3 linked regions of the Neurospora crassa OR74A genome follow. The protein of the gene in region 1 interacts with the protein of each later gene in a biochemical or structural test. Links are inferred from orthologs where the notes say so. Each region holds a gene or a part of one and is shown in the gene's direction. Other genes may lie near its edges. The genes, in order: rho-1, amyc and pkc.

Region 1 (4,796 bases):
TTCAACTTGGCCGGCATCCAGCTCAGTACGCTTCCACTCGCTGCAACTTGAAGAAGCTCAAAGGTACCCCGACAGCGGGCATGAGTGGGTCCCGCATCCAGATGGAAAACTCCACCCAATCGAACAAATCGGTTCTCGTTCTTGGCGTTCCTTCCGTCCTCTCGAAGCAGTGGTGGCTGCCGCCCGTCACCTCCCAGCCCCGGACAATTCACTTCGTTGGACAATGGAGGGGACCAGAGTGAACCGACGGGTAGGACTTTGGGAACCATCATGGGGGTGGTAGGACTTGTAATTTGGCATCTAACACCGTGGCTGACTGACTGACTGACTGTTGACGGCTGACGGATGACGGGTGGCAGCTGACGCTTCCTTCTCCAGCCTCCCTCTCTCCTATCCCGTTTCGTCATCCACCAAGTCAACAAGCTCACGTCAATGCCATGGCAACCGAGATGTTCGCAATTCAAGAGACTGGTCTGCTATCTAGATGCGGCTGGGCACCGACACTTTGCTGACCGCTCCGTCTCTTGGTATATACTGTGTAGTGTATCGACAGCCGAGAGGAAATGGGGTATAGTGTGGTGTACATACTGCGTATGCCAACAAGACAGGAGCTTCCATGTTTTTAATATCATGTCCCGTCCTTCCTCCCACCCCATCCCCTTCCTCCATGTTCACTACTAGACTGTCAAGAGAGTCCTGGACCCTGATAATGGATGGCTGAGAACAAAGCCCAGAGCTATCAGCAAATTACTACCTATGTAGTGTACACTAGGGACACCCAAAATAGGCGACCGGAAGGAAGAGGCCCATGGCGCACTGTGCCTGTTCCTGTACCTTTTGGCGTTGGTTCAGGGGTTCTGGGCAGGCAGTCTGGAGATTAGCAGTTATCGCCGCCGCCCACTGGACCATCTTTGCTGCTGGAGACTCGCCTCGCCTGCCTTCGCTCGCTCGCAAAGCTTCCACTTCCTCTGAGTACACTACTAAAATCCTGGGGGGCCACGGCAGCAGCGCGTGCTTTCCCCCTTTGATCGACAGCCAGCCGAGCCAGCGCAGCGTGTCGGGTGTCGGATTACTGCGGTATGGATGTCTAAAAGTGGTTCGAGTGGTAATTTGGCCCGTCCCCACCGTGCACTTTTGCGCTTGTCATCAAAGTTGAAGAAACAAAAAAAAAAAAAAAGGTCGAGAGTCATGTTCGGGAGATGGCCTTATTAGCCTTATGCAGCAAGTCCGGGGTAGCGAAAAAGGGGAACAGGAAGGAACATGACGACGACGATTTCAAGGTCGGTCCACTATTAATATCACCAAAATCAGCTCTCTTTTCGCGTGCAAATAGCTGAATTACGGTAATGGAGGTGACGGTGTTAATTGTAGAAGAGGACCGGTACGTACCGCTTGCTGAGGATTCGGGCCACTCACAAGTCACATCAAGCCAGCACCTCCCTTGTCTGGCCCTTTGCTCTTGGCTCGTCTCGCACCCCTACCGGCTCCTGTACAAGTGATGGGGTATTCCGACACAAAATGCAGTATCTAGGTAGGGACCTAGTGTGTTGGATGAAAAATTAGGTCGGTAGGTGTCGTCTGCCTTCCTCTTACCACACAGTACCTGTAGCCTCCAGGCTGCGACTGCTGCCAGATGGGACTGTGTGAACCCGACTGAGTGACTGCCTGTGCCTGGACAGCCCGCCCGTTCCCTGGGGCTTCTCTGGGGCTACCCACTGCCTCGCTCACCTCACCACACACGGCAGCACCCACTGCCCTCCCAGCCCAGTCTGACTGCCCGGCCCTGGTTCGCTGGCTAAGGTTTCCACCCTCTTCCAACCTTGCCCGTGGGAGTCCTGCACCTGGCTATCTGGTGGTCCCCCCGTCCCCGTTCCCCGTCTCCGTCTCCGTCACAACACAACTCACAACTTGAACAGGTTAGCACACCACCAGCGGCCACTACCTACCTACCTACCACCACCACCGTCCATCCTTCAACAACCACCCAACACCCCCATCTCCATTTTCCTTCCCTTTTCCATTTTGCATCTTTTATCGACCAAATCCAGGCCGCGTGATACCCTCTCCCGTCCTTTGCATACAACCCGTCGACAACGAACAAAGCACCGTCCGTCGACATCACTCAACTCAACTAAACAACTTAATCTCTCCTCCCCTATTCACACAACCACCAAACCGACGCCATGTCTGCTGAACTCCGCCGAAAGCTCGTCATCGTTGGCGATGGTGCCTGCGGCAAGACCTGTTTGTTGATGTATGTCCATTTCCCCTATCCACATCCAAGAGATTGATGCTGCTCTTATAAGGCGCGCGTCGTCGTCGTTGTCGTCGTCGTCGTCGTCACCGCCGCTCTCCCCCCATCACAACCTTTTTGCTAACCGAATTTCCAGCGTCTTCTCCAAGGGAACCTTCCCCGAGGTAAGTCAGGCACTTGTCTGTCGGGACTGAGACGTCCATCTACACACCTGCCCTCGACCGTCTGTTCGCTACACCGCCCCAACCGCCTGACGAAACACGCATCTTCCTGCCAATTCCCGCGTCTCGCCTCCCCCCCCGAACAGGCTACATCCATCTCCTCAGCCCGATGAACCATCAAGCCATCAAATTCGAAACACCCGCCCTGTCGCCATCATATCCGCATCCGAATAAGCGCTGCTCAGCCAGCTAACTCTCTGCGCCCAGGTCTACGTCCCTACCGTTTTCGAGAACTACGTCGCCGATGTCGAGGTTGATGGCAGACACGTCGAGCTCGCGCTATGGGATACGGCTGGTCAGGAGGATTATGACCGTCTCCGTCCCCTGTCCTACCCCGACTCTCACGTCGTCTTGATCTGCTTCGCCATCGACTCTCCCGATTCGCTCGACAACGTTTCCGAGAAGGTCAGTATCCCGCCTGCTTACTTGGCGCGCCCTTGTCTTTGAGGCTACAATTCGCTAACAATCAAAAACAGTGGCACTCTGAGGTTCTTCACTTCTGCCGTGACGTTCCAATCATCCTCGTTGGCTGCAAGAAGGATTTGCGCCACGACCCCAAGACCATTGAGGAGCTCCGCAAGACCAGCCAGAAGCCCGTTTCCCCCGAAGAGGTACGTGAGGCTGAGACATTGGCGGCTGATGATGCCCCTTTTGTTTCCAAGTGCTTTCCCTCCGCTTGCTCGGGAATGTATGCTAACGCGCTCATCAACAGGGTGAGGCTCTGAGGAAGAGGATCAACGCCCACAAGTACCTCGAGTGCTCGGCCAAGACCAACGAGGGTGTCCGTGAGGTGTTCGAGAACGCGACAAGAGCCGCCCTTCTCAAGAAGACAAAGACGAAGAGGGGCCTCTGCAAGAGCTCGGTCTAAACAAACCCACAGCTCTTTAGAGAGATGCTTTTATTTCTACCGCACGACGAACAACATCATCTGCACCAAGCCCTCCCCGGATAGCCTCGCAACATGTAATCAAGCAACGGTTTTCAAAGCGAAAGATGATCATCACCTTAGTTGATAATTCTCTGCCCATGACGCCGTCAATGCTGCTACCGAGCGGATAATATTTCACAGAGAGAAGAAGAAAGGGGTGTGGAGAGCGCAAATGGGGAGGGGCTTGGGATTTCGGGGATACTTATGGGCCTTACTACTCGATATTTAGGGAGGATAACTGGGTCTGGACTCCTTTCCACTATTTCTGTGTGTGTGTGTGGTCGGCGTGGACGGGTGCGTGGCTTGTGTTCATGTATACACAAACGGAGGACACCTGAGGGCGGTAAAGGGAAAGAGAAAGACTGGAGAAAGGAGTTTTGCGGTTCAATATTTCTTGTTTCTTCTGGAATCACATGCCGCGTCTCTGGCCCCCCTTACCTGTCTCCTTTATTTCTCTTTCTCTGTCACTGCCCGTGTGCGTCTGTCTCTTATCTCTCTCTCTGTGTCTACCTGTCTGTTATTAATCTCTAGTTTTATCGCGTTCTTGTTTATCTGTCTCCGTCTGCTGCTGCCGCTGCATGGTTCAAATTGGGATTTTGAGATTGAATGTTCCGTATAGTTTGGGCGATCGGCATGGCGAGGCCGCCGAATGTCCCTGCTACTTCCATAGACCGTTGACGACAATTGCTGTTACCTACTGTACATCCTCAGACCATTCATTGCCCGTCCCCTCTTGCAATACTCATGTCAACCACTGACACGAGCACAGACTTCTTCTACGTCAGTCAGCCCGTTTGTCTACTTAGTCTTTGAATCCGAAGTTCAGTAATCATCACGCTTTGCCGACTATGCAATCCGACGGGAGAGGCCGCCGCCAGCTCCAGACCCAAACGTGAAACAGTTGATTGAATGAAGGACGTCATGTCTATCAAGGGTAAACCTAGTTAATGTTCCCGAGTCATCACACTCAGCGCGTGAGGTATGCCAGAAAGGCATGATTGGTCTTGACAGCCAACGAAGCTAACACTTGCAAGTAAGCTATGATGTGCCATACATTATACACTTTGCATCTCGAACACTCTCTGGGACTTCTTCATCATAGCCAACAGAGGGGGGAAAGAAGCGGTAAACATAACACTTTCAAAAGAATATATATAAATATATATACGCTCCCCGCTGTCAATTCCTTTCAGTTCTTCAGTTCCTTGATAACCTACTCGACGCAGGAGGTAAATATTCATTCAGGTATCTAGCTCTAGCTCTGGGTAGGAGGCAAGGTAAGGTTTGGTACCTCTAGTCAAGTCAACCAACCAACCAACCAACCAACCGAACGACGTAGACAAAAGTCCGTCGCTCGCTTTCTCCTTCTCCTTCTCCTTCTCCTTCTCCTCCC
Region 2 (4,695 bases), on another chromosome or scaffold:
AGATGATTGAGAAGAGACTGAGGAGGTTGGTTGGCTTGTAACACGATACCGGACACCACTCACTCATGTCTTTTTTTTATGGAATATTGTTGTCGGTATAGCACCGCATTGTCTCATTTTCGGTTGAAGTTGGCTAGGTTCGGCAGCTTGGTTGGCGATAGGGGGGATCTTTTTAGGCTGTTTGATTTCAGGGTCGTTCCCAAAGTCTTGGCCGAACTCTTGGCACCATCGTTGAGCCTATTCAGTGGAGATTGTATGTGTACTTGGTGGGTCTGGACAAGATATTGGACACTTCAGTTTCTTTGTTTCCATCAACTACCTCTCGGGCTACTCTTGGTTTTTACGTTGAATTTAGGAACACGGAGCAATGCATGATGTGATTACTGGCGAGCCAGAAGTTTTGTGAGGACGTTGATATACGTAGGGGCCATGTATCATGTTTATTGCTGAGACCTTGATGAAGAGGGGTTCCATGTGGAAGGTGAACAGAAACCTCAAGGGGTTCATATTGCCCAATATTCTTTTTCCACTCTCGGGTCTCATGCCTGAGCAAGGTCTCCACTTGTCGTTGACATCCAAGACCCTCACTTCCCAGTCATCTCAGCCGCGCGCTGTCCATCATCTTCCTCACCTCGAACATGACAAAAATATCAAGCATGCAGAAAGATGATGCTGCGAAGCAGGCTGGCAGTACAACAGTCAGGGACCTCGAGATACGCCGAGCTTTGCTTGGAAGAGGTAGGCGCCTCTTCGATATATTGATAGGGGGGTGACCATGTTTAGAGCTTTTTGTCATGTTTTATTTTTCATTCTCGTTTTTCTTTGGATGTACATGAATGGATGTCATCCCCCGTGCCTGGGTAATGCTGTGTTACCTCCCATCATCCCATGTGGATGCTGCTGTATACGACTTCCCCTTCCCGCCCCTCGTTCCTGACGAGGTTTCCCAAACATCCAAGTGACAGGGCACACGTGTTATTTGCATGCAAACCGCGGCTGGCCCCCTTCCGTTCGCAGTACCTAGTCGGAGTAGTAGCTCGTGTCGGGCTGTTCCGTCCACAGGGCCACACGCACAGATCGAGGATTAACATCCCGTCTCTACACTACTAAATGCCTGTCTGCTCGCCCTCGACGCACCGTAAGAGGGATCTCCGCTGCCTGTTTTTGTGTCATCTTCTTATATCCTTCTCTGCAGGCGCCCGCCCTGGTAGTTGTCATTATTTTATTATTATTTTGATTCACGTTGCCGGGTAGCCCAGGCCTGATGTTAGACCAAAGGTACCTAGGTAGGTAGGTAGGAAAGTCGGATGGAAATGCTACCAGGCTGGTCCTATTCCACCTCGTTTTTAGAGGCAGGCCTGGAAATTGCACTCCGCCGTTGTGGCGGGGCCCGTAGATCGCTGTTGCTGGTGCTGTTGCTGTTGCTGCTCCGAAGTCATTGTTCCCGTCCGTTAGGTTCAAGTAGGTAGGTTGTTGCTGGAGGTACCTGACTAAAAGTGCAGGGACAGATCCGCTGGAATCTCGCCCTGAGGTGGTGGCCCAAACTTACAAGGAAATCCACAACCTCAATGCAGCAAAACACCCAGGGACACCTGCAGCCTACTTAGGTACCTAGAGGTGTATGTACTGTACCTACCTCCAGGTACCCGACGCACCGGGCCGCTGGCACCGACGGGACTGCGTGAGGTGGTCAGTAGAGGTACTAGTAGGTAGGTACCGTGACCTCTAGGTCTTGAGGTTTGGACTAACACCCGACCGCACTTCCACCGCGGACTACCTCTATGACCGCCCAAGTACAGGCGACACCACGCCCGACCGCAAGCCCAGGTTCCCTTCTCCAGTGCTACCAATCGACCGTCCTCCCCCCGGCCACCTCCACGCCCTTGTGGCCGCCGCCTCGCCAAACCCCGACCTTAGCGCCCCGACATCTCGATACACTTCGTGTACAAGCAGCAGCAGCAGCAGAGAGGCACTCAGTCGGGCGTCCCGTCTCGCCAGCCATCGCAATCCCGTCCCCCGTCCACCGTTACGTCCACTTGTCCACCGATACGGTCACCGTCCACCGCTTATACCACCGCCGCCGACTGATTGGCGCCGACTGCACTCAGCGCGCCGTGATCGTGATTCGAGTTCGACCAGCTCGACCCCATATATCCATCTTCACCCCGTGGCCGTCGACGCCCTTTTCCCGACCGACTGACGATTGCCCGATCCTTGCTTGCCCAGGCCTGACTGAACACACTGGGCCGGCGCCCGAGTTCATAATCAACGACCACGAACGCTTTCCAAGCCCCTGTCCGCTACACCGGCCCGGGTCATCAAACTACTATCCCCTTCTACCTCTCGACACCATTGAGTTCACGTCGACAACAACCATCCACGCCGTGTCTCCATCGAGGCGGCCAACACCAAAGCCCTTCATCCCTCCAGTCGCAACTAACCCCTAACTGTCGGGCTCGCCAGAACAGCGCGCTAGGCAGTTACGCGCACGACTATAGACCGACTGGCAAACCCTCGACTGCGGCTGTTGCGGTGTCGTTTTGCGACATCTGGCATTTAGTTTGCCGTATCCCTTTCGTCTCGACCAACTCGGCTTGAGCCCCCGCTTGATGTGGACGTACGCGCCTTTGTCTGCCAACCTACATCCATAATCCGCCGCGTTCGCGATCGCTGCTCGCCCCTCTTTGGAAAATACATTGAAACATTTTAAGAGCTTGGGGTTTCGAACTACATCAAGGGTCCAAGACCGACATCGAGATGGCCAGCTCAGACTACGGCGGCGGCCCCGTAGGCGACCGCGAATACACCCATGGACATCCCCAGGGGCACCCACAAGGTGAAGTTGCGCATCGGCGAGAGGACGAGCATCTTGATATCACACCAACGATATCACAAAACGGCGCCCCTACAAATGCCCACTTGACTCGCATTCCAGGATCGCCTGCGCTGAGCGCCGCCGATGCTACAGATCTCGAATCAAGACGCAGTGGGGAGAAGAACCGGTCGAAGCCAAAGGGGTCGAGGACAGCTAGCGGACAAGTGCGAGTGTGCAAGAAATGTGGTGAACCTTTGACGGGCCAGTTTGTTCGCGCACTCGATGGGACCTTTCATTTGGATTGCTTCAAGTGTCGCGTGAGTGCCTGTTTCAGCCGCCCGTTGTGGACTTTGTGGCTAACCAGCTCATGTGCAGGACTGCGGTCAAATTGTGGCTTCCAAGTTCTTCCCAGCCGACGACAACAACGGCGAGGGTCAGTATCCGCTCTGCGAGACGGATTACTTTCGCAGGTTAGGCCTGCTGTGTTACCAGTGTGGCGGTGCTCTTCGGGGCTCTTACATCACGGCCCTCGATCGCAAATACCACGTCGACCACTTTACCTGCTCGCTTTGCCCGACTGTCTTTGGCGCTCAGGATAGCTACTACGAGCATGATGGACATGTTTACTGCCATTACCACTATTCGACACAGTACGCCCAACGTTGCAGTGGCTGCCAGACTGCCATCCTCAAGCAGTTTGTCGAGATATTCCGAAACGGTCAAAATCAACACTGGCATCCGGAATGCTACATGATTCACAAGTTCTGGAACGTCAGGTTAAATCCCCCACAGAAAGCTCTCGGGCCGGTGCCAGATGACCCTGCTGGCCGTGAACTAGTTCGGGACGAAGAGGAACGCATGGAGGAGAAGGTCTACCGTATTTGGAGTGTGCTTTCGACTTTCGAAGAGTCGTCGGCGGCTTGCATATCCGATATGCTTCTCCACGTGAGCAATGGAGCATATGTCGACGGTGTCATGGTAGCTAAAAAGTTCATATGGCACGTTGATATATTGTTCCACTCAGCGGATAGGCTTGACGCTACCATGGAACGGCTAGATATGACAGGTGAGAAAATCCCCCAGGATGCTTGAGCGCATCCCCGAAACGCTGATGATGATGGTGGCTAATGAATTATAGGCCTAATGTATGGAAGAGAAGCCAAGCTTCTGTGCAAGAAGATCGTAGCATTCTTTTCGCTACTCTCTAAAACACAGGATAAGGGTGCCCGTAAGCTCGGTGTTACCCAAGAACTGTTAACACTCGTTACTGGTTTAGCCCATTACCTGAAGCTCCTTATTCGAATCTGCTTACAAGGGGCATTGCGGATCGAGAAGGAGCGCGACACCGCCGATGGTCTCGATGGGTTTCTGGATGAGCTCAATGATCTTGAGGCGCTAAAGACCGAAGATAACTCGACGACGACGCTGCAGCTAACGTCCGGCATGGCTCGCCTCTCGGCCTCGGACTCGGACTCGTGTACCCTCTGCAAAAAGCCCATTGAGGACGAGTGTGCAAAGAGCGGCGACAAGAGGTGGCATATCACGTGTGTCAACTGCTCACGTTGCCAGAAAGAACTCGGCCGGAGTCTACAAGATGCCCGACTCAACCTGTACGATTCCAAGATTTTTTGCAACAACTGCGAAACGTACAGCTCGGATAAGGCACCGCCCTTTGAACGCGTGTCCAAGCTGCAGCAGTATATGTTCCTGCTCCAGGTGGCATTGGCGAGGTTATTGGAGATCCTACGCATGCACGGCGCGCTTCCGTCCGCCGCTGAAGCAAGGGGTCACAATGGAATTGATGCAGGCGATGGCCGTCCGTTAATGGATGGTAGACAGAGAGGTTTCCCCGGGGGCGATCAGTCACTACATCATCGAGA
Region 3 (4,505 bases), on another chromosome or scaffold:
TACATCCCTGCATTCTCAAACCTGGCTTCGGTCATGATTTTCCGAAGCTTCATTCACTACAAGTATCGAATCTCTACTGTGTCATTCGGGTAGGAAACCAGTCGAGTCTTGGGACGAAATCCAGCTTCTTCGGCTTGGACAATTTCCAGCTTATTTATCCCTAACCCGCAACCCATCACATCAGTGTAGTGTAGGTAGTATGCATCCTAAGACATGGATGGGCACACCGTGACCGCCTTTCCTGTCGAGACTCCAAATGGGGTTTGTCTCCTCTGTCTCAAGTCGCCGTCATCATTGCCTAAATACTTGCACATCAGGACTTTTCGGGCGATGGTGTTCTCAAAAGTCAGGCGGTTAACATGTGAGGTCTTTATACACAGACCAACCTTTGAGATTTGTTAGTGCGAAACTTACAACGTCTTCTGACAAGGCAGAAAGAGGACATGATTTTCAGGCGGTTCTATTGGTCCAAACCGAGCTAGAGTCAGGTTATGAACAACAATTGATGGTGTCCCATACATATGTCTCGCACCAAAATTTGACTGTACTTATAGCGAGCAATAAGCAGGATTGGCGCCTACCTCTAGCCATCTTGAAAGTGCCATGTTAACAAACTTTTCGAGGGTGAACTGTTGACAGCATGTTCCTTCACTAGGACGAGTGAAAGAAAGTCGACTGCGTGATCCAAGTCCCCAAAGTGTGATTCGGCATGCCCAATCACAGCCCTCCAAACTCAAGCGGTTCAAGGTGCGCCACCAACTGAACTCAAGTGCACGCACCCGTTTCGATACTGCGCCCACTGACACCCCTCGGTCTCCGGGCTTCCAATCCCATGTCCCAAGCCCAAGTGCGGAAGGGAAGTCCTACCAGCGCCCTGCACCACCATTTCAACAGTCCTACGGTTCGGTATCAGCGCACCAGGCAGACCAGGCCATCCACTCCCGTCGTGACGGTGTCGTATAGGTATCGATGTGTGGAGGTGCCCATCTTCTGTTCGGGTAGTCATTGCCTGTGGCTGCCCAACAGTCTGTCTGTGTGAGCTGTGCGTGATATGCAAACAAAAGGGTTCCATTCCAAGAGGGTCGCTGCTGTTAGTGTTGTTGACTGTTTGAAAATGCGCCGATTCGGAACCATCTGATGCCAAGACGAGGCTATCGTAGATTTTTGTTAGTTCCCAAGAACCACCCCCCTTTGGATGATGGGGTGGTAAAGAACACTGCATGGAATGGGCTCGTCGCGCCTAAATTCAAAGAACAAACGGGGACTGTTGGCCTCGAGATTTCCCGCTTAGTATGTGCGGTTCTCGTATATCCCTAGGTGTATTAGATTTCATTGTTCTCGTGATGATGGATATACTAAAGAATGAAAGACACCTAGCGGGCGAGGTACCTGACTGGGAACCGGAAGTCCAGTCGACAAATTGAAGTGTTGGACTTGGACCAAAACCACGCGATCCCCGCCTCTTCAAGGGGAAAAGTGGACGTTGCTAACAAGGAAGTGACCTGCCCGCCTTTGCCCCGAACTGCCTGTGCGTACTTCGACCGCTCAGCGTGCAGTACCAGGCATCGTCGTCTCTCGTCTGGATGCCCACTGGCTGTTTGGCTCGTCGAATCGACAAGGGCCGCCGCCGCCAAACCTATGCGAAACACACAAAACCCCGCCATCGTTAGCATCATACCTCTCTCTGCAGTACCTGCTAATCTGCTGCCACCTTGAGCCTTTCCATCTTGCACATTGAAGCCTCCTCGTTCAGTCCCGTCGAAAAAGGCAAAACCCGCCTTTTCTCTCTGTTAATGCTAATTGCTGCCCCGCCGCCACTATCTCCTCCATTACCTACCTACCTACCTCTACCTACCCGACGTCTAGGTCCAGCAGCGTAGCACTCCAATCAGTGTCTGCCTTATAAAGTGTCCATAGCACCTAGAGGTACCCTCGACCTCCATCCATCCCTCCTGGCTGGACCTCCTTATCCGTCCTCGCTGCCAAGTTGCCTTCCTGGCTCGCCTCGCCTTCCACCCGGGAAGTGCTCAACTTGACCGTCCATCAACAACCACCACGACGCATCCGTTGCATGTCATACTGGCATGCCAGCAGCATTTTAGTCGTCCGGATCAAATCCCGTCGTCCTCCCTCTCTCCCTCCCCCCCCTCCCCCGCTCTCCCACTGCCGACACCGACTCCGACACCGTCACCGTCGGACATTAGTATTGCCAGGAGCATCTTTACCTTTCATCCTCTCCAAAGTAATCCATCTCCCACCGTCGCCATCGGTCCGCCGGGCCCAATACCGCCACCATGAACGACGAAGACAAGGTCCACGACATCTCCAAGAAGATCGAGCGCGAAAAGGCTCTGATCAATGCTGCGCAGGCCATGCGCCAGCAGACAAACAATGAGCAGGTCCGCTCCAAGCTCGACACCCAGATGCGCGAAGGGAGGAGGAATCTCGAGTTCTTCGAGGAGAAGCTGCGCGAACTGCAGATGAGGAGACTCGGCCATGGCGTCGACAACATGTCGCTTGGTGCCAGCCCAATGTCCGGCTCCCACCGACAGTCCGTTGATGACTTCGAGGGCTACGGCGCCCCCTCTCCTCCCCCCAAGGAGGACGTACGCGGCCACAGCTCTCACCAGAGTCAGGGCAGCGGTCCTCTGATGCCCGCCTCTGCTCCTTATCCCGGTGGTCCTCCTGACTCTAATGTTCCACGGGCGCGTCCTAATTATACAAGGCTCGGTAAGTTGGACATCTTCCTTGGACCAGTCCCCCTTTAGACATATTCTGTGTGACTGACGTTGAGGGAACTGCAGATCTAATCAAGTTCGATACCCCACATCTTGGACCTCGCATCCAGCTGATGTTGTCCCAAATCCAGTTCAAGCTCAACGTGGAAGAACAGTACCTAAAGGGCATTGAGAAGATGGTACAGCTCTATCAGATGGAAGGTGATAAGAAGAGCAAGCTTGACGCTGCCGCCAAGCGTGTCGAAAGTAAACAAAAGATTGTCCTCTTGAAGCAGGCACTCAAGAGATATGAAGAGTTGCACATCGACATTGATGTTGATGGTCCAGATGGTAGAATTCCTTCCCCCACATGCTGCTTTCACCAGCACTCCTTTTACTAACTTTGAATGTGACTATAGACGACAGCATCAACCTGCCAGCCCTTAGGAAACCCCTGAGCGGTACTCTTTCTATTCGCATTCTCGCTGTAAAGGATGTCGACCATGCGCCCCTCGGTCGTTTCGCTCGCTCCCCCGAAACATTCATCGCTGTTAAGGCCGAAGATATAGTTGTTGCGCGCACAAAGCCTTCGCGAAACGACAAGTGGGAAGCCGAATTCCACACTTTCCCGGTCGATAAGACGAACGAAATCGAGTTTACGGTTTATGATAAGCCCGCCGAGCATCCCGTGCCTATCGCCATGCTCTGGGTCAGAATCTCGGACATCGTCGAGGAACTTCGCCGAAAGAAGATCGAGGCCGAAATGACGTCCGCAGGTTGGGTTTCGGCGGACCGCGTTGGCTCCAGAGCTCCTCCGCCGCAATTCCCAATGGGCGCCCAGAGTCCTCAGTTTGCGGCACCGCCAACATCCCCTGGATCACAGGAGCAAAACACCATGATCCCACCCCAGGCGCCTCCGCCATCCCAAGTTGTTTCACAGCCTGTAGACGGTTGGTTCAACCTGGAGCCTTATGGCCAGATCCACCTCAGTTTTAACTTCATCAAGGGGGCTCGTCCTCAGGGCATGGACAGGCTGGGTCGCAAGGGTGCTGTCCGCCAGCGCAAGGAGGAAGTTCACGAGATGTATGGACACAAGTTTGTCCAGAAGCAGTTCTACAACATTATGCGCTGTGCGCTATGCGGCGATTTCCTCAAGTACTCCGCTGGTATGCAGTGCGAGGATTGCAAGTACACCTGCCACACCAAGTGCTACACCAGCGTTGTTACCAAGTGCATCAGCAAGAGTAATGCCGAGACTGATCCTGACGAGGAAAAGATCAATCACCGCATCCCCCATCGCTTCATTCCTTTCTCCAACCTTACTGCCAACTGGTGCTGCCACTGCGGTTACATGCTACCAATTGGATCCAAGAAGAACTCGAGGAAGTGTTCAGGTATGTCGAGTTCGCCCCTGTTTTGGAGCCCCATATGCTGACAATTATGACAGAATGTGCTCTTACAGCCCACGCGCAATGCGTGCATCTTGTTCCTGACTTCTGTGGCATGTCTATGGCTGTCGCCAACCAGATCTTGGAGGGTATGCGAACGCAGAAGAAGACTCATAAGGATAAGGCGTCCTCGATGAGTGAGCGTACCCTTAGGCCGGGGAGCAAAACTTCCATCTCGTCCGGGTCGATCGCTCAGGCATCGACGTATAGCGGTTCGACTGCTTATACGTCAATCGCTTCGCCCGAGGCAACTGAGGCTGCCAAGCTTATGTACAGCCAGACAACGCCCAGGCCAGGCGGCCCCGACAGGACCTCTACCAGCTCAACAACCGCCTCGGCG

What was found.
Region 2: the proteins of rho-1 (region 1) and amyc form a complex in vitro, tested with the Saccharomyces cerevisiae proteins (2 studies listed by BioGRID, with this or other methods). The link is inferred for Neurospora crassa OR74A from reciprocal best matches to the Saccharomyces cerevisiae genes RHO1 and LRG1.
Region 3: the proteins of rho-1 (region 1) and pkc form a complex in vitro, tested with the Saccharomyces cerevisiae proteins (4 studies listed by BioGRID). The link is inferred for Neurospora crassa OR74A from reciprocal best matches to the Saccharomyces cerevisiae genes RHO1 and PKC1.

The regions. Positions count from the first base shown.
Region 1 is NC_026502.1:3,340,479-3,345,274, forward strand, and holds rho-1 (rho-type GTPase), read left to right. Parts: upstream 1-1,721; 5' UTR 1,722-2,183; coding exon 2,184-2,254; intron 2,255-2,390; coding exon 2,391-2,418; intron 2,419-2,682; coding exon 2,683-2,880; intron 2,881-2,951; coding exon 2,952-3,086; intron 3,087-3,187; coding exon 3,188-3,343; 3' UTR 3,344-4,222; downstream 4,223-4,796. UniProt on the Saccharomyces cerevisiae protein: Acts as a central regulator in the cell wall integrity signaling pathway, which is regulated by the cell cycle and in response to various types of cell wall stress.
Region 2 is NC_026501.1:3,211,952-3,216,646, reverse strand, and holds the start of amyc (LIM and Rho-GAP domain-containing protein), read left to right. Parts: upstream 1-1,786; 5' UTR 1,787-2,757; coding exon 2,758-3,132; intron 3,133-3,190; coding exon 3,191-3,881; intron 3,882-3,953; coding exon 3,954-4,695. Other genes in the region: NCU02690 (mitochondrial integral membrane protein), read left to right, coding at 1-41. UniProt on the Saccharomyces cerevisiae protein: Acts in signal transduction. Activates CDC42, RHO1 and RHO2. Negatively regulates 1,3-beta-glucan synthesis. May be responsible for the down-regulation of CDC42 during mating.
Region 3 is NC_026504.1:1,589,157-1,593,661, forward strand, and holds the start of pkc (protein kinase C-like protein), read left to right. Parts: upstream 1-1,648; 5' UTR 1,649-2,294; coding exon 2,295-2,730; intron 2,731-2,804; coding exon 2,805-3,068; intron 3,069-3,136; coding exon 3,137-4,111; intron 4,112-4,164; coding exon 4,165-4,505. UniProt on the Saccharomyces cerevisiae protein: Required for cell growth and for the G2->M transition of the cell division cycle. Mediates a protein kinase cascade; it activates BCK1 which itself activates MKK1/MKK2.